Caenorhabditis elegans: one gene and its partner. The protein of the gene in region 2 purifies or fractionates together with the protein of the main gene of each other region. This does not show direct contact. Each region holds a gene or a part of one and is shown on either strand. Other genes may lie near its edges. The genes, in order: ZK849.6 and T28C12.6.

The links.
Region 1: the proteins of T28C12.6 (region 2) and ZK849.6 fractionate together in Caenorhabditis elegans (co-fractionation; one large-scale study listed by BioGRID). This does not show direct contact.

Annotation. Positions count from the first base shown.
Region 1 is NC_003279.8:14,186,163-14,201,098, forward strand, and holds ZK849.6 (NADH dehydrogenase subunit 1), read right to left. Parts: upstream 12,975-14,936; 5' UTR 12,846-12,974; coding exon 12,828-12,845; intron 12,704-12,827; coding exon 12,581-12,703; intron 12,529-12,580; coding exon 12,472-12,528; 3' UTR 12,449-12,471; downstream 1-12,448. Other genes in the region: gopc-1 (Golgi-associated PDZ and coiled-coil motif-containing protein), read right to left, coding at 374-474, 523-687, 1,100-1,238, 1,297-1,430, 1,491-1,811, 1,858-1,968, 2,033-2,131, 2,635-2,733; best-26 (Bestrophin homolog 26), read left to right, coding at 14,059-14,118, 14,180-14,304, 14,353-14,490.
Region 2 is NC_003283.11:6,330,041-6,346,372, forward strand, and holds T28C12.6 (WAP domain-containing protein), read right to left. Parts: upstream 6,080-16,332; 5' UTR 6,075-6,079; coding exon 5,996-6,074; intron 5,915-5,995; coding exon 5,821-5,914; intron 5,772-5,820; coding exon 5,701-5,771; intron 5,648-5,700; coding exon 5,458-5,647; intron 5,430-5,457; exon of another isoform or gene 5,358-5,429; intron 5,277-5,357; coding exon 5,152-5,276; intron 5,098-5,151; coding exon 4,956-5,097; intron 4,278-4,955; coding exon 4,208-4,277; 3' UTR 3,974-4,207; downstream 1-3,973. Other genes in the region: T28C12.2 (Major facilitator superfamily (MFS) profile domain-containing protein), read left to right, coding at 1-164, 212-352, 398-751, 795-945; T28C12.1 (Major facilitator superfamily (MFS) profile domain-containing protein), read left to right, coding at 1,901-2,044, 2,093-2,161, 2,401-2,694, 2,747-3,015, 3,060-3,200, 3,246-3,599, 3,815-3,968.

The DNA of each region.
Region 1 (14,936 bases), on a different chromosome or scaffold from region 2:
ATTTTTTGTCGCAAATTGACTAAAAATTTGAATTTCCTATAGTAAAACGACAAAAAATTTGAATTTTCTATTGAAAAATGACCAAAATTTTGATTTTCCAGTTGAAAAATTAACTAAAAAATTAAATTTCCAGTTAAATGTTAACTGAGAATTTGAATTTCCTCCCTAAAACTGACTTATAACTTGAATTTCTAGCTCAAAATCAATTGGAAATTTAAAAATCCCGCCTAAAATTAACTGGCAATATGAAAATCCCGCCAAAAATTAACAGAAAATCAAAATTTCCAGCTGAAAATCGATTGAATATTTAAATTTCCCGCTAAAAACTAACTGGAAATTCAAATTTCCCGCCGAAAAATTCCCAATAACTCACATAGATCCATCGCTGTGCTCGATCGTCACCGTCCCATCATCATCACTATCCTCATCGGGGCACACAAAGACGAGCTCCAGGTCTAGGTCGCCTTGCTGTACCTGGAATTTGGAGGGGATGTAGGTGGAGGGCCCCTGGCAGCATCTTACCTGCCCACTCAAAATATCCACTGCCTCCTGATGCTTGACAGTCCGAAGATCGTAGCCGTTTACTGAGAGAATCGCGTCGCCCACAAAGACCTGTCCACATCGGTCAGCAGGCTGTCCCGGCTGGATTTCAGATATCACTATGGGTAGAGCGTGTTCGGATCCTCCCTGGAAATGGATTTTAGGATCCAGTAGGATTTTTTAAGATCTTGAAGAACTAGGATCCATCCGGAGCTCCGCAAACTATCTGGAGTAGTTTTGAGCTATGCAGCAGAACTACAAAAGCAGGGGTTGTCAGAGTGTCTCATTTTAGATTGATCTACATTGATCTACAAAAAATGCGGGAAAAGAGACGCAGACTTTTCAACTGACTGGGAGAAAAATTCCCGCATTTTTTGTAGATCAAACCGCAATGGGACAGCCTGACACCACGTGCAAAAGTACCTCATAATCAGATGGCACATTTGGTCTTACGGGAACTGGATCAACTCTCAGATCTTACAGGATCCCGTGGATCCCCAAAGGAACAAGTCTAGTCAATGATCTACTGGCCCAAAACCATCCAAGTCCCCCCACCTACCGTAATAGAAATGCCGAGCCCTTCGTGCGGGTGTTTCGAGAGCACCACTTTCCTGCTCTTTCCCACTCCATTTCGTTTTCGGAGGCTCTTGAAGTTGTGACGAAGTGGCGCCGTTAATCCCTTCGTGTTACCCCGTCCTCTGCAAGAATGGCAAATTGTTCAAGTGGGGAGCGGCCATGGGAAACGTGACCGCCTACCTGCAAGCCCGGATCACTGTCTTGTGCCTGTGGAGGTGAATTTCGGCTTCCAGCTGGTTCCAGAGCCTGTCGTGCTCCACGCCGCGCATGTTTCGTCCCAGGAGCTGGATTTGTTGTATCCGGCCTGCGAGTTCCTGGAAGATTAGGGTATGTAAAGCCTTGAAGCCTTAAAGCCTTAAAGCCCGATGGCCTACCTTATCCAGGTACTTTGCCGCCAGCCTGGCCCCGAAGACCTCAGTCTCCAAGGCCTGAATCGTCCGTTTTGACCGATCACACTCCTTTCTTGCAATTTCCAGCTCACAAACCGTGCTCAAACCCTGTGTAAGCTCTGATCGAAACTGTGTCAGCTGGGTCTCCAGCTTCTTCTTAATCATGTCTGACTCATGCGGCGCCGTCTTGGAATGCAGTTGGCATTGTAATGAGTGAACTTGGATCATCAACTGCTCCACTTCCTTCTCCATGCTCTGTCGAGCGGCGCGGGCTTCCACGACCTCGGCGCGCATTGTTATCATTTCCTGAAAAAATTAACAATCCAACTTTTTTCAGCAAGCCTAAACTCACCTTCTCCTGTTTACTAATTGTGTGCATCATGAACTGACACTTGTGCATCATTTGTGCAAAGCAGGCGCTCAATGACGTCATCTTCTGCCGGCCCTCGTAGGTGATCTCAACCTGGATACGTTAGGATTTTGTGGACCTGGGCTTGATCAGGTGGCCTGAAGTTCTAAGCTCTTACCTGGTCCGAGTCGACTTCTCCTAGCAGGAGATCCAGTGAGACGAATGCTTTGTCGAAGTCTTTCTCCAATGATTCTGTCCATCCTGAGCCACCTTCCATCTGGAAATTTTGAGGTTTTAGGGGTAATCAAGGGGAGGGCAGGGTTCCGATCAAAGTTTGGCTGAGTTGAAAGGATCAAGGATCCCGGCTAGTCATTAGAAAATTTGACGGCTCTGGCTTATATGGCCTAGCTGAGCAAACTGTTGTGAAAAGAGCCCTGATTTGGAATAAGGAATAAGATAAGCTGATCGGACCAAAAATTCGGGCCTAAATGGGCAAATACTTGGATAAATATGATTCAGGCTAAGCTGAAAAGGGCCCGGTCCAGTCAGTTGTCGTTTCAGACTAGGCGGGAAGTTTCAAGGTACCGGGCCTAGTTTAGCTCAACAATGATAGGCTTCATAAGTCTAGGCTAGTCAATGGGAAATCTAATTCGAATTATTGGTTTCCAAGAACGGATGGATCAAGGATCCGGGTTTAGCTAGGCTTGGTAGACTCAAACCAAGAGGATAAAAAAGCCGGGCTTGACTAGGCTTAGAACCTAGAAAGCCCAAATCACTCACCGCAGAAGCTTCACACTCAAAATACTCAGACTCCGGGTCCACCCTAAGCACAGTCTGGGCCTGAAGCCTGGCGCCAGAGCAAGCCGCACAATGGCTCATTTTTTTAGTAAAACACTAGTTTCGGGGTGATGATGATGATGATGATGATGATGATATGTGTGGAGAACTGGGTGTGTGTGTGTGTGTGTTTGTTGGAATAGGGTGGAAAAGAGCCGTCGGGGGACACCGGATAATCCAATTGTCGTTTTCTTCCCGTCTTTTCTAGAGAAAGGCGTCGGGGGGCTCTGTGAGGAATAAGAAGATGCCTCGCTCGTTTTTAAGAAAAAAAATGGGGTGGGAATGGTAGAGAGAGAGAGTGGAAGAGGACGAAGAAAAAGAGAGGAGGGACCCCAATTCCGGGAGCTTCATGTGTGTGTGTGTCAATGGGTATACTTTCACACCAAATCAAAAGTTTTTCGCATTTTTGTTCCCTCTTTGTTGCACAGTTGAAAAGTATACGATAATTACTTTAACTACGAAATTGGGGGTTTTACTCCGACCTATGGGTGTTCTACACTGACCTATAGGTGCTAAGTAGACCTGAATGGTTTTGATCCGACCTAATAGGGTTTTACTTTGACTTAACGGGGTTCTAGTCCGACCTAAGACTTTAGAAATCTACTCCGATCTAGGAGTTCTAGGATCTACTCTAGGCCCTTCCTTGACCTAATGAGATTCTACTTCAACCCAAGGACGCTCTGCTCCGATCCAAAAGAACTTTACTCCGGCCCAAGATTTTAGAAATCTACTCCGATCTAATGTTTTTAGGGTCCTATTCCGATCTAACTTTTGAGGTTCTACTCCGACCTAAGACTTTAGAAATCTACTCCGATCTAGGAGCTCTAGGATCTACACCGGCCTAAAGGGAGCCTACTTTGACCTAATGAAATTTTACTTCAACCCCAAGGGGTTCTCCCTAAACCTAAAAGTTTGAGACTCTGCCCCGGCCTAAAAAACTTTACCCCGACCTGAGATTTTAGAATTCTACTCCGATCTAAGATTTCGAGATTTTACTTTGACCTAAGCGGATTCTACTCCGACCTAAAGTGATACTGTTTTGACCTAAGATTATTCTTTACCGAACTAGGGGGTTATACTCCGCAGAGTCCTTGTCCGACCTATTAGGCTTCTAGTTCGACCTATGGGGTTTCTAGTCCGGCCTGAGAATGTGGAATTTTTACTCCAACCTAAGATGAAGCTACTCCGATCTAACAAGATTTTAAGGTTTTTTTTAAAAGGAATCCACCTTCTTTGAGTTTCTACCCCTTACGACCTAACACGCTATAATTCCACTCGACGATTTTTTGGCACTTCTATTACTAGCCGAACACTAACAAGCGGTAGTAGTTGAAAAGTATCCGATAATTATTATCCCCGCTTCCTTTATATTGACCACTATTCATCTGAACGACTTCCTCTGCATGCTCTCTGCGCAAAGCTAATTCAATTTGGAGTCGCCTTTTTGGAATTGGTTTTTAATGGAGGAAGCTTGATTTTTCCATTTTTTCAACGTCTAATGAGTTGAAAACAAAGTGGGATTTTGGGATTTTGTGCTCATTTGAGAGCCCAAGCTTGCCTAAAAGTATGACGGGACCATCAGAAGGCTGAATTTTTTTTGTACATTATGGTAAATGGAGGCACTATCTGGTTCCGTGGGGTCATGGTGCATTGGATCATGGTATATCCTATCCTGGCTTCTAATCCCAATGCGTTTACAGTCATGTGGGCTTGAACGGGCCTAGCTGAGCTTGGACAAAGTTCCTTGACAGTACGGGTCGACAAGCTTGACAGTCAGAAATTAGGCACTTGTGGGCTACAGGTGCTCGTAATTATTTTGAGAGTTCTGGGCTTCCGGACTTTTACTAGGCTAATCTAAGACAACTGGGCTCTAATCTTCTGGTCAAACAGTTTCCCTTTAGATTTTAAATATCTGGGCTTCTCTACGGTCCCTTTTTATTAGAGCCACAAGCTTACGGGACTTCACTACAAGCCTAGTTAAATTCCAAAGAATATCTGGAACAAAATTCAGCATTCTGGAGCCCGTCGGGCTTGAAATATAATTTTGAAACTTAAAAATAAACTTACATTTGAAATGAAAAGCTCTAAAAATTGAGTATAAGAATAACCGGGCCATGTCGGTGAGCCACTCTGAGAATAACCACCATCCTGGAACATAGTCTCCACTCGAAACTGAGCTTATGAGCAGAGTCGAAAAAGCGGATCAAGAAGTAAGATGAGCCCCCCCCCTTGGCTTGAGCCATGTGAGAAAGGCTAGAGACACAGAAAGAGAGAGAGGTTCGCCAAATCACATTGTCTCCGTGTACGGGGTGCGCCGAAAATTATGTTAAGGAGTCGAAGCAGCGGTGGCGGGGGGAGCGGGAGAGGAAATGTGAAACGCAAAAGTTCCGTTTCGGCTAAACGTGATGATGGCTGAAGATCATCTTCTTCTTTTTTTTTCAACAAGACCATAATTGAAGTTTTCTAGATGTCTTATATTTCGGCTCAATTTGCAAGTTTCAAAAAATACTTTGTTAGTTGTCAGCTGCCTGATAAAACAAAAGACATCAGTGATATATGCACCATGTCTTAAAACAAGGTATTTTGTAAAGTTTTTCAAAAAGCTAAACAGATAAAAGCTTCAAACAGGGACAGCCTTCAATGCATCATGTCCAAAAGTTTTTGCTCATCTTTGATAGCTCATTTGATAGCTCATACATAGATTAACATACATAGATACATAGATTAAAAAATTTTAACACCAAAAATGTAGAAAACTTCTACATAAACTGTTAGGTGCTCCTATGCACACAAGATGTCTTATCCATAGTTTGATCTATTTCCCGCTCGCTCGGCGGTTGTCCTCCCCCTCACTGAGTTACGAAAAATGGTTTTTTTGTTCAAATTGTTAAAAATAATTTTACAACGAATATTTATGTTTTTTTTTTTAATTGAAAGTGTTATAAATTAATTAAATATATAAAGAGTATAGGTTCAGCACTGAATAAATATTGATCACATGTTTTTTTTACAATTTTTGCATGTATAAATCCAAAAATTTATAAAAATCAAATTCCGAAGTATGGTGACCTAGTCTCTGCTTATGGTGCATCGACACCAAATCAACTGACTTTGACAGTCGATATCTCGGCTAATTTTGGTGCTATCAAAAATTCGTCAACTGACAAAAAAATTGATTTTCGGTTTTTCTATGATTCTGTAGTTTAAAATTTTTAAATATCGTACAAACAAGCTGAGAAAAACCCTGTCTAAGTTGATTTCCTAGTTTTAAGAAAATTCTATATCACAATTATTCAATTCTAGACAGAAACAAGTCTAGGTGCTTAGCCTGAGCCTAAACCTAAATGTAAGCCTGACCCTAAGCCTAAGCCTAAGCCTAAGCCTAAGCCTAAGACTAAGTCTAAGCCTAAGCCTACTCGGCATTCAGAGGCAACTTCCTGCAACACTTTGACAACTTCCTGCCAACAACCTGGCAACTTATTTAGTGCCACTAAAATAAGTTGCCAAATTGTTGGCAGGAAGTTGCCACGAAGTTGGCAGGAAGTTGCCCAGGTGTTGTCAGTAAAAATTCTTTTTTTCGTTTTTTTTCAACTGATTATGGTTATTTTTGTATTAAGGGGATCAATAAAATGAATTTAGCATACATACGATTCAACCAGAACAAGGTAAAATTAGAAAAAAAAACGTTACTTTTTGAATTAGTCCAATCGGCTGGATATCAACTTGCACTGTCATGTTTCCCTTTTTCTGCCCTACCAGATCCCGAACCTTCTCCTTGTGACTGTCAGCCCAATTCCTTAACCTCTAAGCTATGCCCGCGCGCAAGATAAAGTAGAATAGAGTTGTTCAAATATGAAATCCAATGGAAACTTGTAAAAAAATGTTGAAGAAAATAGTTTCAAGGAGGTAAACACAGATAAGTAGCTCTGAAATGCCCAACATGTAATTCTAGAACATGGTGATGTAAAGGACTATTGTAAGCAAGTTGATGTAACTGTTCTCAAAGAATAAACAATTTTGCATAGCTCGTTCTATCAAGTCGGGTTTTCTTAACAACATGTTTTACAACATTAATTCAGAAGCCGCGACGACATGAAGTTATCCTACTTCGTTTTTCGTGTAGTATGCGTTCTTATTCCCACTTTGCTTTCATTTTATGATAAGCTACTAATTTTTCTATCACTGTTAGCTTTTTAAAATTCGAAATTCGATAGTTCCACCGCAAAGTTTGAATAAATTCAATTTTGAAGTTCGGCTGTAAAGCACCGATGCTCCGAAATTACGCCAGTGCGTCATGTTTACCGTAAATGTTGCCAAAAAGTTTGGCAGGCTGTTGGCAAGCTGATGCCGAAGTTTGGCAGACTGTTGGCAGACTGTTGCCAAAGCCATGCATGCTACATGCTGGCAGGATGTTGCCAAAATTTGGCAGGAAGTTGGCAAAATATGGCAGGAAGTTGGAAACAAGCAAAACTTGGCAGGAAGTTGCCATAATTTGGCTGGAAGTTGCCTCCAAATGCCGAGTAAGCCTCAGCCAAAACCTGAGTTTTTGCTCATGGCACATCACTAACAAGTATGACGTCATTTATAATTTTTTTAAAGGAAAACAAACCTAAAGTAAACTGAAAAAATATTTTCGGAACGGAAAATCTACTTGGAAAACAGCTCCAAAAATTGGAAAAGACGTACAACGAGTCAATATATTATAGTACCCATCCTTGCCCAATTCCAGAGTGACATATTGGCATATACATACATACATCCCCTCGTCCCTGCCACAACCCATCCATCAATCCAACCCCATTTTTTTCCCAAAGATTTTGGAGCGAGATGCTCCGTGTAAGCTGAGCATGAACAATTAGAAGAAGACGGGGATAGGAAAAGAGCACAATTACGCCCATGGGAGATCATATTTCTGAGGAGGAAAACGGGAAGATTTTGGTTGAAAACTGAAGAAAGTTTAGCATTTTTTTTGGGGTGGCGGAGCCGAAAAAAAACCAAAAAAGTTTTTTTTTTGGAGAAGGAGAAGAAGGTACTTGAGATATGCAAATTAGGTGCCGCCAGACAGATAGGACTTTGTTCATTTGTTACTACGATGCTCCGATATCCCGCTGAACGTTTTTGAAATTTTTGAGTAGCTAGGCCATGCCTGGTTCATGGTACGATGCTCCGAAATTCCGCGGTGTTTCTCAATAAAATTTCATTTAGAATCATCAAAGTTGCTCAAAACTTCAAAACTACAAGAAAATTCCAGCCAGCGGAATAACGGAGTATCGTACTAGGCCACGTCCACTTTTAGTACGATGCTCCGATATTCCGCCAGTAAATTTTAAGAATTTCAAAAAATTAATCAAGTCTAGTGGAATATCGGAGCATCGTACTAAAAGTGGGCGTGGTTTAGTACGATGATCCGAATTCCCGGTAACTGAGAATCTTATTTGTTTAAGGGTTGAGGTACTATTTTTCTATTTTTTTGCAAAAAAACATCATAAATTGCTGATTTTTAACAGTTTTCATGAGCGTAATATCGGAGCATCGTACTAGCCCACGCCCACTTTTAGTACGATGCTCCGATATTCCGCTAGTTAAAATTAACCGAAAATACTGTCAAATTATATTTGAAACACTAAAAGCTCATAAAAACTGGAAGTCTGAAAAAAAAATCAGTTCATCAAAATTCCAGAGCATCATACATCGTAGTGGGCGTGGCTTATTACGATGCTCCAATATTCCGCTCTTAAACAAATCAACTTTGAGCAAAAAATTGGCAATTTTTGTTTGGAAAATGTTCTAAAAAATTTGTAAAGTTGAAAACTGATAAATTTTTGGAATTTATTTTTTTGGAACTCTCCAGCGGAATAACGGAGCATTGTACCAGGTCACGCCCCTTTCTTGGTACAACGCTCAGAAATTCCGCTTGTAGAAAAGTCAATTATTTCATTAATAATTTTTTCAAAACTTTGAGAAAATCTATCAATAAAGTACAACGTTCAAAAATTATCAAAATATAAAAGCATTGTACTAAACCCCGCCCACTACGACGCTCCGAAATTCCACTAGTTGAAAAGCCGCCCAAAAGATAAAAAAAATCCGGAAAAAAGAGCCTGCTTATCGCATTTTTTTTCCTTCAGCGACACCCCTGGAACAACAATACACCAGGGACGGCTGGAGCTCACCAGCCAAACACACGTTTTTGGGGGCGGGGTTGGAAATGTGCCAAAAGTTTTTGGAAAGTTTTTGGCTTTTGCCTAAATCAGACTTCGAACTGAAAAAATACAGCGTGGTGTTGTTTTGGTTAATTGAAAAAAACAACTTTTTGAAAAAATCGGTCGTACTAAGCCACGCCCCTTTTTTGGTACGATGCTCCGAAATTCCGCTGTCGAAATATTGAATATAGATACAAGCTCAGTTGTTTTTGCACTAAGATTCATATATAATTTTTTAAATAAACTCGGCAGTCAGCGGAATACTGGAGCATCGTACTAAGCCACGCCCCTTTTTTGGTACGATGCTCCGAAATTCCGCTACCAAAATGTTCAGTTTTCAAGGTAAAAGGGTCACATTTTTTAAGGCACAAGGTGCACAGTCAAGTGTTAATTAAAATTAATAAAAATTCGAAACTTTCAAATTTTTTCCACAAGCGGAATATCGGAGCAACGTACTAAACAACTCAAGTTTAAAAGCATTTTAAAAGTTGAAGAGTAAATCAACAAAAGGGAGGAATTTCGAAGAAGTCCGTGCTTAATTGTCCGCGGGAGAAGAGGGCTTCCACATCACCAAAATGGGACACAAAAAGGATGGGGTGGGCTCTCGGAGCACAAAGCAAGAAGATATCGAAAAGATGGGGAGGCGTGGGGGGGGGCTCTTCTAAACATTCAAAAGCGACAAGTTTTGGTTATGAAAATGGTCCCGAGAGACTTTGAGAACTCGGAAAACATTGGAAACTGGCTACGGGGATATCGGAGTGTCGTAAGGGGCGTGGCCTAGTACGACACTCCGATGTTCCCAGGTCTAAAATTCGTGAAAAGTAGTGCTATTCACTGTAATTAGATAGATTTTAGTGGAATTTCGATGAAAATTTTGCAGGTTTCTAGATAGCGGAATTTTGGAGTGTCCAACCAAGAAAGGGGCGTGGTTTAGTACGACGCTCCGATATTCCGTTTGTTGAAAATTTGAAAAAAAATTCAAATTTTCAGAAGAGAATTTTACAAAAAAAACGTAAATGGCGCCTCAACCTAAGTCTGAGCCTAAGCCTAAGCCTTAACTTAAGCCTAAGTCTAAGCCTATGCCTAAGCCTAAGCCTAAGCCTGATCCCAAGACTAGGCTTAAGCCTAAGCCTAAACTTAAGCCTATGCCTGAGCCTAAGCCTAAGCCTAAGCTTTTGGGAATATTGGAGCTCCGCCAGACTCACCACAACTTTCCGACATCCGGAGCACATGTGCCTTGTATGAGGTGCTGACATTTGTAATACCTGAAAGAAAATTTATTTAGTACGATGCTCCGATATGCCGGAATATCGGAGCATCGTTGTGAAATGGGTAAGAAATGAAAAAATGAAAAGATTTCTGAAAAAGAAAATCAAAATTCACATTAATCCTAGTTTTACGAGCTTTTTCCCCTTCACATTAGGAATTGCATTTGGGTTCAAGTATCGGAATAACGGAGTATCGTACTAGGCCACGCCCACTTTTAGTACGATGCTCCGATATTTCGCTAGTCCAAATTTACGGAAAAATTAAAAATTGTAAGAAATGTTTGGAGTTTTAAAAAATGTATTAAGATTAACGGAATATCGGAGCATCGTATTAAAAGTGGGCGTGGCTTGGTACGACGCTCCGTTTTCCCGGTAACTGAGAATCTTATTTGTTAAGGGTTGAGGTACTATTGCTCTAACTTTTTGCAATAAAACATCACAATTTGCTGATTTTTAGTAGTTTTGATGAGCAGTATATCGGAGCATTGTACCCGACCACGCCCCTTTTTAGTACGATGCTCTGATATTCCGCTAGTAAAAATTAGCGGAAAATACAGTCAAATTATATTTGAAACTCTATAAGAAAATTGGAAATAAAAAAAAACAGTTCATCGTATTATCGGAGCATCGTACTAAACGTGGGCGTGGCTTAGTACAATGCTCCGAAATGCCGCTGTGGAAAAATGTACAGAAAGAGCAAGTTTTGGTAAAACGTTTTTGAAAAATTACTCAAAATGAGAAAAATTAAGCAAATTTTCCAGTACGATGCTCCGATATTCCGCTTATCAAATCCTACAAATGCCCAATAAAAACAGGAAAAAGCTCCGGAAAATTCACAATTTTCTGGTGTCTCCGGGAGCAGCCACTTGTTATGCGGAAGAGGAGCAGTAAAAGAAAAGGAAGAAGAAGAAGACACTTGTGTCTGTCCGCCCGTTTTTTTTTTCTAGAACCTTCGGTTGGGCTTCTCCGGTGTGCGTGACTTGCTCCTCCTGAAAATTTTTCAAAAAATGGATGTATTTTTTTTCTTTTTACTCCAAAATTTTCCCGTTCTCAAGAGCTCTTAACTCAAATTTTCGGCTTCTCGGGGTCTCAAAAGTGACAAAAAGTGTTGATGGAGGTGGTGACCCCCACTAAGCACTTGATCCCGCCGGTGGCTTAGCATGGGGGCAGGGAATTGTAATTTTCTGACTGGAATATAGAGTTTCTTTGGGAAAATGCTGAAAATTTTCAGGTTCCTACGAGTTTCAATAATCCCCAAAAATTTCAGTGCGTTAAAGTTAAGTTGAACAAAGTTACAGCTTGCTGAAGTTCTTGGCATGCAACGCGGTCGCGTCGCGGTTCAATTTTTATTTTTATGCAAAAATAATTTAAACATAGTACTGAATTAGTTCGTTAAATTTCAGGTTTTTAGATGCACTTCTACTGAAGTAATGGTCACTTGAAGTTTTACGGGTGCGTCGCGGTCGCGTCGCGGCTCACGGAAAAATACACGTCGCCATAACTCGAAAACCAAGAACTGTGCAGCTTTAAAAATTTCAGATTGTGCTTCTTATTCGATTTTCGATGTTCTCCAAGTTTTTAACTAGAATCCAATAAAAAAATTTTGGTGCGTCGCGTGTCGCGTCGCGGTTCAATTCAGAGTTCCAGCAGCCATAACTTGGATGCTAACAACGGTAAATCTCTGAAACTTTCAGATTGAGTCTTCTACCTAATATCCTTCATTTGCCCAAACTAGATCCTCCTACTTTCTCCGGTGCGGTGCGGCCGCGTCGCGGTTCAATTTTTTTCAAAATGTGTTATACTTCATGTATGTATATACTCCAGAAAAAAAGACATGGTGTGTTTGCGTTGATCTAATTAGAAAACTGGAAGAGCCGGCGCAGGCGAAATTTGATTAACAGTAGAGAGAGGGGGTTTTGTGGAAAACATACAACCGGAATTCCAGGGTCCGAAATTTGTTTTTGAAAGGAAACATTTTGAGTCTGTATTCTTGGAAGAGTAAATTCGCGACCGCAACGCGGAAGAATTTAAAATTTAAATACTTTAAATATGAAAGTCCTAGCTCTGTAAAATCACCTGCAAAAATTTCAGGCTTCTAGCTCAAATATGAAGCAAGTTATGGCAATTTGAAAAAATGAAACTAGCCGCGATGCGACTGCGACGCGCCCGCGACGCGACCGCTCCGCACACACCTAATTGTTAATTGCATGTTAGAATAAAATCATCGGAAGACTATGAAATTTTCGGTGCATACAAAAAAACAAACATATAAACAGACAAAATAACATTTGAGTACAAAACTTCATTTTCTAGCGAACTCTGAGGGCTGGGTTGTTGTACGGCTTCTCCCCACAGTACATGAATGGCTGAAATTTAAAAAAAACTTTTTTTTTCTGAAAAAAATCTGAAATTTCATACCTGTTTCGCAGATCCCTTTGGAATCATACACGGCTTCACGACAAAGAGCAAAAATGCGGAGAAGACTCCGAGATACCAGCAAAGAATGATCGGAGAGGCCAAATAGTCGAACCAAGCGAGCTTCTGAAAATAGAAAATTGAATTTTTGGGGGGCTTTGGAGCATATTTGTAGCATTTTTAGCACATTTTTAGGTGAAAAATCAAGTTTTTCAGCTTTAAAACTGGAAATCTGAATCAAAACACTTACTTGATTGGAATACACCATGGTTTACCGGATTCGATTTTTTGCCTCGAAAAGTGAAAAATGGAAGGAATGAATGAAAAATCGATATTTGAAGTATTGATTTTTGATTGATTAATTTGAAGAAAAACTTCCAAATTTCAAAACTTCAAAAAAGTTATCACGTAATGAAAAAATTTAAACACTTTTTTAAAATTATTTTTTTTTCAAAATTCCGTATCTTTTTCAATTGTTTAGATGTAAAGCTAATTTTAGGCTTAAAACTTGCATTAAAGCTTTAGCAATAACTGAATAAATTTTGCCATTTACTACTTAAAAACCTACAGTATCCCATGGGTTTTCGTGGCGGGACTCGAAAAATATTTAAAAAATTCTTGAAAATGTTTGAAATTACATTGCATTTGTAGTTTTTTAGATTTTTGAGAGATTTTAAGTTCAAAATGGGTAGAAAATCATTGTTAATTTGATACAGAATTTTTTAAAATTAAATCTCAAAAATCTACAGTACCCCATGAGTTTTCGTGGCGGGACCCAACATTTTTTTTTGAAAATGTTTGAAATTGTATAACTGTTTAAAGTTTTTTATATTTTAAAGAGATTTTTAGTTCAAAATGTTTAGAAAATTATTGTTAATTTGTTGCAAAATTTTAAAAATCAAACCTATAAAATCTACAGTACCCCATGAGTTTTCGTGGCGGAACGCAAGTTTTCAATATTTGCAAAATTTCAAAAATTAAAAGCTTCATAATTTTGTCAATTTTCAAGTTTTTGGACTGATTTTGTTTTACAGTATGTTTCAAATACTGATTAGCATATTTGTAAAATATGATCCGCATATGTGCAATACCTACAGTACCCCATGAGTTTTCGTGGCGGGACCCACAATTTTCCAAAAAATAAAAACTCGATTTTCACGCGAAATTTCAAATTTCAAAAAAATTTTAAGTTTTAAATTTTAAAACTTTCCACGTGAGTTTATTTTTATATTTGGAACTTTTGACGTTGCAAACTTTGAAAAACGTTTTAAAATCGATAAATCAAACATTCCTCAACTAACCTTTCTGTTGGAAAATGTGAGTTTAGCGGCTGTCAACTTTAAAGGCGCATACCTTAGAAACTGGAAGAGATATCAAAAAGTTGTCAACTAGCAAAATGTAAAACAAATAATTTGCTACATTTTATTAATTGACAACTTTTTGATATCTCAATTTTTGGCAAAGTTACCGCTCTTTTTCAGATGACTGTTCCATATTATCGAGATGTTCCAACTGGAAATGCTCTACGCAATTTTTTCAAAGTAGGTTAACAGTTTTAGACAAAAATGTTATTAATGTTTACTTAAAGTTTAAAAAATTCAGATTATGCTCAAAAGGAAAGGAAATTTATTTACAGCGATTTTTAAAGAGTTATGTTTGTTTCTTGGCTTGTATTTTTTATTTATGGTGATCTATCGACTTGTTTTACCAAAGAGCGGAGGTCAACGGTAAGTGATTTCGCTGGAAAAACTCTTTAAAATGTAGCTTTTTTTCAGTGAAATCAGAAAAATTGTCGAAAACTTGCTGTCCCATCAGGAATTTACGATACCCTTGGAGTTTTTGCTTGGTTTCTTCGTTTCTAGTGTGGTGGATCGGTGGAGAAAGTCGCTGGACAGTTTAGCATATATTGAGAGGTAAATTGCGGCATTCTTGAAACCTTTGTAATTCCACTGAAAGCTAAGTTACTAAAAAGTTGTCAACTTGTGAAATGTAGAGCGAACAATTTTCTACGTTTTGTCAGTTGATAACTTTTTGTATCCTTTCTGCGCGGAGTTATTGGGGTTTAAAGATGGAACACTCTCCAGCACACAGTGATATTGCGGTTTAACTTCAAGCCTCCATAACTTTGCAGTGAATAGTAATATCAAAAAGTTGTTAACTAACAAAATGTAGAGCGGAAAATTTTCTACATTTTGTCAGTTGATAACTTTTTGGTATTTTTATTCTACGCGGAGTTATTAGGGTTTGAAAAAAGAGTACACTCCTGCCCACTGTGATGTCCACAGTGATATTGCGGCTCAACTTTAAACCTTCATAACTCTGCACTGAATGACATTATCAAAAATTGTTAATTATTAAA
Region 2 (16,332 bases):
TGTGTAGTCATCTATTTTCTTTTCGAAGAAAGTTACGCTGGAATTGTTACGAAAGAAGAGAAAGCGAATGACGATTTGGTTGTTCCAATGTTTGATATCCCAAGTGCAATTATTTGCATTTATCTTTTTATGATTGTCAACATTATCGCAACCAATGTGGAAGTGTAAGATTTAGTTCAAAAATATCAAAAGTGCATCACTTGTTTTTCAGAATGTCAACACCATTGACCACTGTTTTATACGATTGGAAGGATAGTGATTCGATTTTGTATAATGGAATTACATTGGCCTTGAGTTGTATTATTTCAGTAATCTTCCATGTGTTATTGGGTGCAAGTAGAATTGGAAAAATGTCGGTGAACTTCTACAGTTGATTTTTTTATTTCAATTTTTGCAGTGACAAGAGGAATCAAATGTTGATCGGAATTTTCGTATTTCTGTTGTACCAGGCATTCATGTATCCATGGGGATTCTACTCGGGACCACTGAACTTCTTGCCTCCAGGTGTTGAAACTACCGAAGTGGGAGGATGCTTGGTAGAATATCATTGGTGTCAGGAAACTACCAGGGTCCCACTGTCCGTGTATCTTTTCTGTTTTATTGTATTCTTTGGAGTTGCATTTCCATTTGTGGAGACACCGTCCGCGGCACTTTATTCGGAAGTTCTTGGTCCAAGGAAACAAGGCACGATGCAGGGATTTTTCTCACTCGGTGGAAGTATTGCTCCAGTTATTGCTTCTATTTCTTCAACGTAAGTATTAAGCTCCGCCTAAAAATTCATGTTTCATTTTCAGAGCGATCTTCAAATATACGGGTTATCGCTACGTTATTGTACTTCAATCAGTATTTCTTCTCGTTGGAGCGGCACTCATTTTAATATTTTACAAGAGACTTGTCCCATTGAAAGTTATTAAAAAGTCAGAAGATGAGAAGATTTCCAATTGAATGATAATTATAGCGTTTTAAATTGTTGATTTTAGTGTTTTCTAATTTGTTGAATTTTTGAGTCTTCAATATAATATAATGTAATAAAATCACATTTGTTTTTCAATTGTTATACTTCATATCTGAAATCCATTTTTTGCAAATCTTATAGTTATATTAACACTTTTCTTTGAAAAGATATTAAAAAATTTAAAAGTTCTAAAAAATAGACATTCCAATTTTTAGGTCTGAAATTTTTTTGGCGGCTTGGAGAAAAAACATTTTCAGAAATTAAAAAAAAAAAATCAAAAACTGTAATAATGTCCCCCATTCCCCTAAACACCCTAAAAACATTAAAACTCGTTTTTTAAGCTTTTGGAGCAATTATACGGGTCTCGGAAATAGTAATGCACTGAAAAATTTCAGAACTAAATTTTAAATGTTGAGAACGGAATATTGCCGCTCAAAATTTTGCATCTACATATTATTGGTAAAAAAAATTCAAATGGAACTAATGTATATGTCTCGTTTTTAAGTTTGAAGGTAAAACCGTTTTCTTGTAAGTTCTTTTAAAATCTTCATAATTGAAAATTTAACAAGCGAACAAATTAGATATTTAAAAAAGTGGCTTTAGTTTTGATGTCATCAAAATTTTAATAAATCACAATAAACACTTACACTGAACCTATGTACATGAATAAGAAAATATACTAAAATAGACAGAGGGTTCAAAAAATTCAAAAACAATAAATAATTCATATTTCCATAGAATAGTTATGATCATGTATTCCTAGATTTCTTTTTTAGAACAGGTTGAAATGTCAAATCTATTAGAAACCCGCATTTTGTAGTGTTAACGAAAATTGACCGCACAAAATACTGAAAGAGAGCGATTATTCAGATGATGTTGTGCTATATAAACACCGGGTAGTTGTCTATAGTAGAATTCATTCTTCGCATCTCCCTTATTTTCAAAATGACGCAGATCATTCTGTCCGAAAAGATTGAAGCCGAGAAGCGAACAGATTGGAGATCCATGTGGATTGCCATTGTTATGCAGTTTGTAGTAGGTGTTCAAATTTCTGTATATTACATGTCAATGTGGCCATATTTGAGTGGAGTAAGTTTTATAGACAATATGGAAAGTAAAAAATTTCAAACATTCCAGCTTGATAAAACAGCAGATTTTGATTTTCTTGGGTGGGTTGTTGCGTCTTGCAGTATTGGTTGTACAATTGTAAGTTGTTTTTTTTTTATGGTTTAGTTTATATTGGAGGGAAAATTCAAAAATTATCCTCAATCAATCTTTTGAGAAAAGCAATTTTAAACTGATATAATACTTGTCTGTAGAACTCCCAGTTTATATTCAAATCTTTGAATTTTTTTTTCAGAACAGGACAATGTAAATATTAGTTACCACATAACATAAACATCATGAAATTACATGCATATATTTTAACTTTATATTTATTCCAGGCTAATCCAATTTATGGATACTGGAATCAAAAGACAATGTCTGTGAAATGGCCTGTTATCACTGGTTTCCTAATAGCAGCTGTTGGTCAATTATGGTACGCACTTTTGGGCTTTTTCGGAAATGTGAAATGGTTCATGTTATGTGCTCGATTCTTGACTGGCCTTGGCGTTGGAAATATAGCAGCTCTTCGAGTTTATGCAGCAATGGCATCTACGCCAAAAGACAGAATGAGAGCCATATCTTTCGGGACCGGAGGCTTCGTTCTCGGTTTTTCATTTGGACCTGTTATCTCGGTAAGGCTCCGTTAACAATTTTTTATAGTGAAGTAAATTAATAATTATTTAGTCAATCTTCACTCCACTCGGTGAAGAAGGTATCCAATTTGGAGGTTTCATTTTGAACATGTACACAATTGTCTCTTACTTGATGGTTTTGATTTGCCTGTCAGCTTGTTTGGTTGTATACTTATTCTTCAAAGAAAGTTACGCTGGAATAGTGACAAAAGAGGAAAAAGAGAAGGATGAAGTGGAAGTTCCAATGTTTGATATCCCAGCTTCCCTAATTTGTATTTACCTTTTCATGATTGTCAACATGACTGCGACCAATATCGAAGTGTAAGTGAACTTATTTCAAACAACGATGTAACTTTTCTTTTAAGAATGTCTTCTCCTTTGACCACAGTTCTATATGACTGGAAGGATAGTGACTCAATATTCTACAATGGAATAGCACTAGCCATTAGTAGTGCAATTTCAGTGGCATTCAACATTGCTCAAGGATCAACGCGAATCGGAAGAATGTATGTTAACCGGAGCCTTGAAAATTTGAAAACGAATTTTTCCAGTGACAAAAGGAAGCAAATGTTATTTGGACTAACATTTTTCCTTCTCTACCAGCTTTTCATGTATCCATGGGGATTCTACTCTGGACCTTTGAACTTTTTACCTAAAGGAGTTGAAACAAAAGTCGCCGGAGGATGTTATTCGGAGTATCTCTGGTGTAATGACACAACTCGTGTTCCACTTTTCATATATTTATTCTGCTTTATTGTTTTCTTTGGTGTTGCGTTCCCATTCGTAGAGACACCTGCTCCAGCACTGTTCTCTGAAATCTTAGGGCCAAGGAAACAAGGCACAATGCAGGGATTCTTCTCGTTCGGGGGAAGCCTTGCCCCAGTTATTGCTTCTATTTCTTCCACGTAAGTATAAGAAAAACACCTTTTTAAAATTGGTTTTATTTGTAAGCATCGCATCTTGCTTTTGGGTTTACCAAATTGTGTTTTATTAACATTCAAATTAAAAGTTAATTTTGAAGTCAGTCGCCAAAATTAAAATCTTTAGACGTCAACGTAATTTATGCTTCCAATCTTCTAGATAAAAAAATTTATATTCCTCACATATAAAATATTTTCAGAGCAATATTCAAATACAGCGGGTATCGTTACGTGATTGTTCTCCAAGCATCAACTCTTCTTGTTGCCATAGTTTTAATTTTGATATTTTACAAAAGACTAGTTCCACTAAAAGTGGTCAAGAAGTGCAAAGATTCGTCATCGTCAATGTCATGAAAATACTTTTTTCTCATTCATTCATGTTTTTTCAATTCTAAATGTAGTATATTCTGATATAAATTAAATTCTTCTCGAACAAAACAGACACACTCGGATAAAATAAATGGGCACAAAAAGGAAAGAGATGAATGATTCTGAGTAGAAATTTAGTAACTGGTTCTGCAGAGAAAGACCCCAATAATGAAAAAAAGTTATGGTATTTACAGACATAATCATGATTCTGATGACACTTGAGATTAGGCGATGATCCACTTGTCATTGAACTTCATTACACACGTGTTGTATCCGCAATTTGTGGCGCAGCATCTGAGATTTTATGAGTTTCCAACAGAAAAACGAGGGGCTTCGTAAAATTTCAAAATCAATAATAATTGCGTTAGCTAAAAATGTGTTGTTTTTTCTTTCTTAGCTTCGTGCTCAAAGTACTATGCATTTGTGAAATTCAGGTTAAAAAAAGTATTTCAATAAATGAATAGAATTATTTTTTAAGTATTATTTTTTTAAAGAAAACAAATTGTTTGTGTTTTTATGCAAAAAAATATATATAGTTTTTAAATAATTTTTTAAATTTATATACCACCCAGACGCAAAGTTTTGCAATTTTTGAGTCAAATATACGCTTCCCGGTCTCGTCACGACAAGTTTTTATCGAATGCAAAAATGTCTGCGCCTTTAAAGAATAATGCAACCTCAAACTTTGGTTCTGCGAATTTCATGATTTTTTTCAGATTTTTTCTTACAATTTCTCAAAATTAATGTTCTTGTTTTGTTTTATTTTAGTTGTTGAATATACATATTTCTGTCAAAAAAACTATGAAAACGCAACAATGAGAGTTAAGAATTACAGTAATCTTTGAAGACGCACACCTTTTTGAATTCGGCGCCAGCAGGAAAAATCCTTTTACTAATCGAAGAAAAAAAACTTAACCGTTTATAAAATTTCGAAAATCAAATTTATCAAATTTATTCTCAGAAATAACTCACTTTCTTGTGTACAATCCACTACGGCAATCGCTATCAGTATAACACCAATTCGAACCTCTAGCTGCCACACATTTTACCCCTAATTGGTATGGATCTGGACATTGATCAGGTGTTGTAGCTGCTGTCGATAATGATTTGAAGACTGGAAGTTAAGGGAATTTTTTAAAAGCTGCAAGCCAAATGCTTATAGACTAACCAACGCTTCTTCTTGGGTGATATACTTGTGCACCAACGTGTACACACATGTTATAATTACAGCCAGTTGGACAACACATTGAAGCAGTGGTAGATCCTCCCCGACAGTCGAAATCATTGTTACACCTGCAAGAACAGTCTCTCTTATCATTCCTTATCTTTTCCGTAGAAATTTGTCTTATCGGCTAGCAAGTCAAGTTTCTTTCGTGGGGTATAGCTCAGTGGCAGAGCATTCGATTGCAGATCGAGAGGTCCCTGGTTCAACTCCGGGTGCCCCCTAAATACTTTTTTGCCTTTTAAGACCCACCAGTTCACACTTCTCAATTTTCTGCAGTTGATGTTCATAGATGTTACAGATGGGCAGCTAGCTTGGCTAGGATTCGTGCAACACGATCCTTGTTCTAATCCATTTGTGCATATCGTTCCTGATTCGCAAGATGTGGAAGTCATACAAGAATGGAAATAGTTACGACATAATGGGAGGGATCCAACAAGATCTGTAATTATGAAATTAATGGTTAGAGTAGAAGAATTTTCAAAAAAAACTAACCATTGGAATATGACCGAAAAACGTTAAATTGTGGGTTCACATTGTTACTGCTAGGATTATAACTGTTGAACCTGAATATAATAGTATTAAGAAGTGTATAATATTTTCTTAATTTCCCACCTAAAATTGTTTGGTGTGTCGTAAGATGGAGGATTGAAAAAACCAATATCCTTCTGTGGTTTAATAATGTGTCCACATTCTGATTTAGCTATTCCTAAAAAGAAAATAATTGACCTCAAAACTGGAAAATTATTTTTAAAAAAGTAATTGCTTCAAATTATTTAGCTCTACTCACCAAGTTTTTCATAATAATCACAAAGTGTCATGTGCTGTGATCCGACAACTGTGATACCAACCAACAGCAACTGTATCATTTCCTGAAAATATTAAATGAACGGAGAGAGATAGAGTTTTAGCAAAAACATCGCGAGAAGCAAGTAAGTTGTCAACATTTAAATGGTAAGTGCGTGAAAAAAATAACTTTTGAAAAAACGTGCTATGTGCTCTCTGTGCCGCCCGCCCCTTCCCTCTTGGCGCTTTTGTTTGTGTCTGCGTCTCTTCCTCTCACACACTCTCTAACTCTTTGGTCATTGGATTGTCTTGGTGTAACTGAGTCTGTCAGGCCAACACAGGCAGACTGGAAACAACATGAAAGACGATCCGGAATACGCAACGTGTGGATTCACGTGTGTTTACCGTGTCCATTGGCACCCAAATGTTTTTGTTTGTACTGTACTGGAAAGCAACGGGGTGCGGGTAAGCACAATAATATGGGATAAACTGGAAATTTGCGGGCTTAACGTACTTGTGCGCATAGTAAAGAAAATTCAAAACAAAATTTGGGAGGATTTGAATAAAATGGGAAAAATTGAATATTAATAAGATTTACCAGATGTCCTTTTGCAGAGGGGAACCTGCGAAAAAGCAAATAAATGTTTGTTGATTCGGACATAAATAGAGATTTCGAAGGGCAATTTTTTTGGAGCTTGATATGTTTTACCAAAATACAATGGTTAAAGATGTAATTTTTAGGGATTTCGACTCGGGGAGGTTTTTTGAAAAATTTCGAACACTGAATTCTTCCGAAGTAAGAAAAACAACATAAAATGTGGCGATAAAATCAAAGCGGTTAATTTTAAACAATATTTTGTGCTTCATTACTTCAATTTTTAAAATGAAATTAATCATTCAAATTTGATTTTAATTTTGGTAGCTTCATACTCAAAAATTTTTTAATATTTCTAATTGTACCAAATTGTAGAAAATATTATAAAAGCCTGAAACAGTATTTTAATTTCTGATTTACTTTATTTGAACAATTTTAAAACCAAAAGCTTGAAGCTTGAGAAAATTGGAAAGTAATATTTTATGCAAAAATTGTTCTACAAGATAATGGGACATTCAAAATTTTCAAATGGAAAAATTCATCAAAAATTTTGTTAAGATTATGATTTCAACGATATAAACGATAGAATAATATTTTAAAAATATCAAAGCAGTTAATAGCATTAAATTACTAATTGGAAAATAGAAACAATACAAACTTAAAAAAAAACAATTTTGAAAATTTTATAAAACAAAGTCGCATAATATTTTAGTTTTTGAAACTACATGCATTTATAATAATCAATAAGCAAAAAATTTAAGCTGAAAAGGCAACTGAGATTCATGCCAGAAAATGAAAACTTGATAACTCTAGAATGAAATGTTTCACGGAATGAGGCGGTACGTCCCATCAACCAACGTGATCCGGCTCATCTCAACAGGCGGTATTATACGTCAGAAAAATGAAAAATTAATCGTCTTCTTAATCTAATACAGTCATTAGGATCATAATACGAAGGTGGCAATAATTGGCCGAAACGCAAACAGCGGCTGCGGAAAAGGAGCGAGAGACTGTGCCAATCGGTTTGTTTCCGGTGATATAGGCGTCAACTGGTCTTTGGGGTGCTCTGGGCTCCGCGAGCAGCTCACCGTATCAAAATGTGTGAGTGCCCTTCACGCGATTTAGAGCAAAAAACACCGATTGGCTCAGAGATAAAGAGATATGAAAGAATGATAAATATATGCACTTTGAAGTGGGGGTTCAGTCTAAATACAGTGATCAGATAGATGTATTAGAAATTAATTAATGGAAAATGAGAAGGGGAGTGCTTGAAATGGGAGTACGTATGTTTTTGAAACTTTCAAGCCGGATTTTAAAATTAATTTTTCCTAAAAAAAACATTGAGCATAAATATTAAAACCTAGTTTTTCAATTTAAATTAGCAACATCGCTTGTGATGAATTTGCATTAAAACGCTCCTATGCGCCACAAATACCAAAGTAAAAAACAAATCAAAAAACTTTTCTAAATTTTTAATTCATTATTTGAAAATTGGAAAAATTTCAGGTTTTCCCTCAAAAAAGCGCGGTAATTCAAATTTGAATTAGAGGTAAATTGAAAATTCATCCATTTTCAAAAAAAAAATTAGATGGATTATCTTGTAGGGTGTCTTAAACCAATTTTCCCAATTCAGCTACTTTGTCAATTTGAGGTATATTTAGATTACAGCTTACCGTCAGATTTAAATAGTTATTTCTAAAATGAAAAAGAAATAATTCAATTCGCATTTTTAAAGCAAGCTCAAATTTTAAAAATTGTACATCAATGAAATTTTAAATTTGTGAGCTTTTTGGTCTCTACTGGAGCCCTATTTATATGAAAAGCGGTGCATTTTGTGAGGTTCATTGGTAACAATCTAGAACATGCTAGATTCATTGTTCAGTGAACATTTGAGCGTACGATTTATAAAACAATCCAGTACAAGTGTACAAGAACGGAGTTTCAGGTTCTCAAGCCTTGATCATTCACGTATCTCGTCGTTAGACGTGTTGATCTTTGGAACTCTAAAATTTTTCTCACGGGTCGGGGATTATCGGAATGGGGCGGGGGAGGTGCACAACGGTAATTGATATACAGGAAACGGCACGGCAAGACGACGGCCAATGTGTTGCATGTTTCACTTCTTTGCTACCCGAGGTGTGAAACGAAAGGAGATCGTATGCGCTGCGGATCAGAACAACACATGAGCGTACGGGAGGAGGAGGAGGGAGCACCGGCATCTGTATGCAAAGAGCAATAAACACGATATACAACACATTTTTGAGTTGTTGCCGACTGATGTTAGAGGAAAATAATGTTGGAATCATCGAGAGTACAAATAAGAAATTGAGAGAGAAAATGAAACAATTGAGATTGAAAAAAAGTTTCCGGAGGAATTAAAGAGAAAATATTCAGTGACGATTGGGGAGAAAAAGGTGAAAACAATTTCAGATAGTAAAATATTCGAAGGCAATGTATAGTGGATTAAATCAAAATCATATTTCAGTATTCAAAATTAGACCAAATAGGTCCAAAATACAGTACCATAATTCATAAAAATGAGATTTTTGGTCTCTAATAGTAGTGCGCTAGATGTTCATAATTGTGTCTAATAGTCAAATTAAAACCAATTTTTTTGTAGATTTCAAACACATGTTCATAGAAAATGTTTTTATATTTCAAAATGTTTATCGCTCACGAAGAATGAATTCGAGAGATTAAAAAAAATTTTTCATAATTTTTCAGACGATTGGAATATTACAGTTTTAATTATGAATTCGGAATACGTTTATAAATTTTTTTGAGAACTTTTTTTCTATGATAAAATGCTCATAAATGTAAATTAAGCTGCCAGACCAATTGAGCCAATGAGTGGCGAACGGCAGCGTTTTATGGCACGGAAACATGCACAGACCGAAAATGGTTTGTCTTATTGTTGACACACCAACAACGACGACGACGACGCTCAACCCATTCACCTCTTTTGTGTTCGCGCCGGCGCGCCCGGATTCATCTGTGTTCTTGATACATTGCAGTCAGCACAGACACGTGAAGCTGGATAGTAGCGGGTGTACTGGACTCTGAACCTGATCATACAGATCAATTTGTCGAGATGGAAAAAATGACTACACATTCACAAAAGACACTTGTCGACACATTCCTTAGATAGGGAGAAAAAAATAAAAAAAATTTTGAAGAGGTGCGCAATTAAGTTGAATATGTACAGATTTTGTCGAATTTAAACTCGCTGGGTGCCCAGGTCTGTCTTGAAAATGAGAACTATTTCCGAGAGTAGCAATTGCAATTCCGGCAATTTCGCTGATTGCCAATTGCTGTTCTTCAAAAAGTGAGACATCATGAAAATACAAAGCTTTTTTTCTAAATTTTCCTAAAATTTTAGAGCATGGTCACAGTATCTCAAACCTTGAATTAGATAAATTATGTCAAGTTTAAATTTTTAGATTTTCGAAATAGAGTGGAGTTTGATAGTTGCCGGAATTACCAGGAAAATACTACATTATTTTTTCCGATTGTGGCGAATTTTCCTGATATCCTGATATAAACAGGTTGTCTAATTGAAGTTGATATTGTGTTAAATTTTTTGTAGTTTTCCAGAGACGATCTTTTTTACCTGAAACCTAATGAGTCTTCTAACTTTTTCCCAAAAGTCAAGTTTTGTTTCTCATTTGGCTCATGATGTTGCAATCAGTCAGAATACATGATCTCTGTTTCAGTGCACTTTTTAGCTTTTTCGTATAGTAGCCGTTGAAGAGAGTTAGTTGTCGAAAGTGGAGCACACGCGCGGGCTGATTAATCTCAAAGCACTCGGATAAACCAAAAAAGATGAAGAAAATAAGGAAGAGGACAACAAGGGCAAAGGTGTGGATAATGATGTTGATTATTATGTGCATTATTATTATTAGTAGAAGCCGAGTCACAATTCAAATTTTGAAAACAATTAGTTGTAGTTTTGGAGCTTTAGTTATCTCAAGCTGATAACAAAGTTACTATAAATTTTTAGAAATTTAGCAACTCTAAGAAATATGTATCTATTTTCTAAAATTCTGACAACTTTGATACATGATTTGGGTACTACCATACATAGATCTGCGCAAAATAATGTAAGTGAAGGTGATAAGAATATTTTCACTGTTTTATAAACCTACACTAAGAAAATCGGAACTTGTGGATCATTTTCTATGAAGTAGTCTAAGTCGACTTATTGTTTTAATTTGTTCAAAGGATTTTTTATCAGCTTGTTATCAATACAACCTTTTTTAATTTGAACTTTCCTTCTTGGGACGATAAAAATCCATGAACCTGTCATTGAATAAAATTCTCCCTTCCAGATTGAGCTCTGAAAAGCCAATGCTGAAAACTTCTTCAACAAATCAGTGAGTTCTTTTTCTTGCTTTGCATTTCTTTTTTATTGGTTGGGAGAGATGCATTGGTGCCCACTCTCGGATCAGCTGACGTACTGCTTCGTCGTTTTTTTATTTCTTCCTCGAGTGTCCACCCAGTTGGTCGTCGACTGCTTCTCCTTTTTTGCCATCATCATCATCGTCCTTTTTCTTCATTTCCTTTCGTTTTTCCATTTCTTCCTTCCCATCCAATCTGGGCTTTCAACCCGAATGTCGCCATGCCTTAAGAAGTGGTCGAGTTGAGAGGCCACTGGCCGAAACTGAAAAGGGAAAGAGACTTAGAATGAAACAGAAAGCCTCCAGTGGTGACTGAAAAGGGAAGAGAAAGAGACGTCGAGAAAGAAGAAGAAAAAAAACGAGAAAATAAACGAAAAAATGCACACCGCACATAACATGACAGCACTGGCAGTTTCGAGTCCACAACTGCAGTGTTGACGGGTCGCCTCTTCTGGGAAAGGGTCCCCCAGTTTTTTGCTGGACAACCACACACTTTTGCCACCTTTCACACCTTTTTAGTGGGCATTCTTTTTGTTACTTTTTCGTTTTTTTTTTCTTGACTTTCTTGTTGTTGGAGAAACTAAGACTTTCTCATTCAATTCTACCGTAATCCCATGCACTATACTCGTAGATCAGAACACTTTGTTTTCTTGACTTTGGAAAATTGGAAGTGCACATTTTTCAAGTATACAAGTAATTACTAGCTTTGGTCACACTAAACTGGCAATTGAAATGTATTTTTATCAATAACCCAAGGGTTGTATCAAACAGAGTATCAGTGCGTTTTCATGGAATCTAATGATCATTCCAGGTTTTTGTGATTTTATTTTCAAAAAGTATGGAAGCCACGTGGCAGAATTTACTGAACAAACATTTAGGGATCCGCGATTAGTAGACGACAATTTGAAAGCAATCGCAAACTTTAATTTTTTTTCGTTTCAAATAACAAAAAACGTTCAAATGAAAGCTAATTTGAATTACAACGAGCTAATTGAGATTCTAAATTATTTTTTCAATGATTTGACAATTGACAGTGTGGAAAACCACTCGATCTGTTTGTCGACTGTTTTTTTTTTAAATAAAACAGCTCTATTTTTTCTTGAACTTTTTTGTTCGCCGTTAAAGTTTGAATTGAATTTCTTCACTAAAAAGTATGTATTTCTTCAAGACAAAGTTTTTTCCACATTTATAGTTTGACAAACTAGAAATATTGCCCTTTATTATTCAAGTTTCATCCAGTGCTTACTATTGCTCAAACCATCAATATTTCTAAGGAGCGCTGAAATCACATTTTTGAAATTATAATCGGTCTCCAACTAGTTGGCTCCGAAATTGCATCAATTGGGTGATATGAACAATGTCCATTTATGTTCATTCATTAATTCACCTCGTGATTCATATTTTTCAACCATTGCTCCCTTTCTGCTCACTTCTAATACTTCCCTGACTTGCTGCTCTAATCCTGGCCTCCCAAAGGACATGTTCTTGGTCGCCAGGCTCGTTTTTTTTCGGTCTTTTCTCGTGCATGTGTTCCTCGAAGCACTTCTGAAATCTTCATGGCGTGGAATGCGGGAGCTCGGAAGTTTTTTGTGGGTGTGTGTGTGTTTGTGTGTGTGTGTGCGTGGACAAAAAACGCGGTCAAACGAGCGGACCCATGCCGACCGGGAGAAGTTAGGCGGGAAGCCTGGAGACGCAGAGCAAAACAGCTGCTCGACGATGTGCGTATTATGTGTAACTGATCGAAAACACATGCACAAAATAACGGATGAGGAGCGGAGGAGAAGATGGTAGAGCTGAGAAAAGAATAAGCCTGAGATCATTTCCCGCTCTGAATTGCACATCTGGAAAAGAAAATGGGTTATGATGATGGGACAACCAACGTGTCCGAAAAAACATAGACCCTTTAAAAGATTTTACTATTCTAAGCCGGATAAAACATGATATCGATGTCAGTATAGAGCTAGTAAGTTGTTTGTTTGTAGATTCCTAGAGTTGAGCGAACAAATACAATCATATCCAAGGTATCAACTAGGGCTTCCAGGCCAGTAGTCCCACAAGCCTGTCTGGTTATGTTCGCTTTGTCTTTTTGGATTTCGTGACGGGTTACGGATCTTCAACAGCAGGTAACTGTTCAATATTTAGGAATTCCGTAATTGGAAGTTGACTTAGTGGTTGATCTATCAACTTTTCAACCCTTAACTGAACATGCTCTAATAATATATTTTGCAAATACAGAATAGCAATTAAAGTCTACAGAGAAACTCATATTTGACTTCGTAGTTTGAGCACCATTTCACTTTGACCTACTGGTCAAACTATCAGTTGAAAAACGTTCTATTGCCACCTTCACCTTGAATTGTTTTAATAAATTATATCTTATCTAAAACAATTTCTAGTTATTTCGTTGTGTTGATCATAAAGACAAAGTTCTCCGTTTCTTTTTTAACTAAACAAAAGCCTTTCTGTGCATTTTCAAGAACTTGGTCACTGCCTTCCATTTTTTTTCGTTTATTCTTTCTTTCTGTTAGGGTCATTTCTTAGTGAATCATCGTCAACCTGACGTGCCCATTACATGTCTCTCAGAACACCATAAAAAACCTTGTCTTCGTCAGAATTTGTTCCGTCTTCCGTTTCAGCAGCTCCCTTTCCATTTCTTTTACTAACCCTTTTGCTCAATACACATTTGTGTTCGCGTCCTCGTTTTTTATATACTATGTGTGTCGCAGCCGCACGAGAGGCGATTGCACGAAAAAAAACACAAAACAACAACAACACGGCAGGGCGATGAAAACGATGGCAGTGTGAAGAAACCGATCCTAGGGGACGAAAAAAGGGAACAGACGCACGCAAAAAACAACATATGACCATGTTGAAAAACGGGCGGCACATTTCAAAAATGCCAACAAAAAAACAACATTAAAAAGAGCAAGATTTGACACAGAAGATTTGGTCACCGAAAAACCAAAAAATTAAACTCTTAAAATTATCGAGTTTTTTTGGCAAACCTCTATGTTGAAGCCTTTCTTTGAATGGAATTTCAAAAGTTAAAAAAAAAACTTTAAACCGGTAATACTTAATTTTGACTTTAAGAGCTTACATACTACCTACAAACTGCTTTTGTCTTTGACTTTTGTTCAACTTTCCACTGATCTCTTAAACAATCGGAAATCTAAACTCTAGAGGCTTCAGTGAAGAATCTGAAAATAGATGCTAGTATATGTAGAATTGTTCTTGAAATATGATATCAATCTAGATATTCCAGACCAAACCCGACTAGCCTTCACATTCATATTGTAGTATATTTTTCAAGATGGGAACGAAAGTTCATGTTTAAAGTTTCGTGTTTAGCACGTGCTTTTGATGCTTCAGAATTCATATTAATTTTTCTTCACTGCAACGTTCTATTCAATAGCCCTTTCTCTCAAGTCAATAGGAACCTCCACCAAACACCGACACTTTTCAGAGGGAATACCCAGAAGATGTCATGCATTTTTGATATTTTCCGATTTCTCCAGGAACCTTTGATAAACACTTTTTTGAGCGACTTGTTTTTTCCTGGATAGCCATCTATTTGTTTTATTTTTTTTTTCATTTTTTTTTCGAAGTCTCAAAACAAATTGGTCTGATCCGGGGAATCATCAGCTGTCTATTGGTCCGTCGATCTATTTCGTGTTTTTTTTTGCGGGCTGGCATCTGTTTTTGAGTCCCTTCGGTCACATGCTTCTTGTTCTCGCTCCTGTCCTATCAACATGAACTGACCGACTTGTCGTCCCTGCTCTCTTGGTTTGGTTTCACATTTCCGACCCACGACAGTGAGGGACCATTGTTGGCGCCCGGGGAGAGAAGCTCGTCGCAGGCGCGAGAGTACATGGTTCCCGGGCGGAAGAAAAAACTGACGACCGCGGTTGCAGGAGGCGAGAAGCGGCCCTTAGAGCTGTGCTCACTCTATTGGTTATAAAAGAAACGCGAACTATACAAAAAGAAGCCGACGAGAGAGTGATGAGGTCGATGAGATGGCGACAACCGGCCAGCCGGGGGCGCCCCGAGCCCACCTCCTGTGTTTTTTCTCGTCTTTCTTTTTTGTGTGTGGTCTCGGCGGCCCGTCTAAGCGCGGCGCCGTTGCTCCAACATCCTCTGAGGCCATGGATGTCGTGAAGCTGAAGGGCGCGGCTGAAGAACGGAGAACGACCGACTATGTTGTGCAGATGTGTGTGTGTGTTCTATTTTTCCTTCTCTAGACTGCTTCTTCTTCCTTTGTTTTTGCTTTCACTGACATTTAAAGCTCACCCATTCTCTAAAAAATTGTTCACTCTAAAAAACATGATCACTGTAAATTATACTATTATCACAATTACAACACATTTTAAAATCAATTTTTAAACTTATCAAACATGCGCCAACTAATAACAATGTATTATCAGTCAAATTGTTTTTTGATAAAAACTTGAGATAATGAAAAGAGAAATAATCGAATGAAACATAATTTGTTGAAGAATCATTATCTTAAATTTCGAATAAAAGCTTAATCCGACCATTGTTAAAGTTCAATAATTTTAGCCCATTTTTGTTTAACTTATATTGGGTGCAAATCTATTATGACTATCAATCTATCCTTATCCCTGATTTCCCATTCAAGTAGCTCTTGTACAAAAAAGTCATTTATATTTTTCATATGTTGTTGTTGTTTTTTCATGTGCAAGCTAAAATAGAAAACGTTCTGACTAGTCAGCTATAAATAACACGCAATTGGCTTCATATATAGCTGAAAAGCGGAATCCTTGTTCGATAACTTTGACCTGGCGGTCTTTCTCATTGTCTTTTCAATTTTTCTTCTTTTCGAACCTTTTCTCTTTCTCTATCCCATGATCATAAAGTGAACCGAACCTTTTTTTCAAATTTGAGCTGTCATGACGTCTTTCGTCAGCGGTGCCCACCCAAACCCAGGATCATCATCTTCTTCACCTTTACGTTTCAAGCATCACGCACCTTCTTTTTCTTTTCTCTCTTGAAATTCCCTCACATTGTCTTCGAGTTTCTACTGCTCTAGGGACCATTCACTTGTTGTTTCGTGTGTATGTCTGGCGGTTGTTGGGCGGGGAAGGACCACTGAGAGAAAGAAGAAATGACAAAAAGTGCAAAAAATGAGGTGCGAGGTGGGAAAGATGTTTCCTATCAACACCTGCTGATCCAATGGTAGTCGATCGTTGGCAAGCTTCCCAAGGCCAGTTGTTTAGTGTATAGCATGTTTCATGTATCGGACACTTGATGATTTCCGGATGGTCCTCCTCTTTCTCTCTCCTTCGTCCATTTTTTTTCTCGTTTTTCTCTCTATTTTTTGTGTTGGTTTTT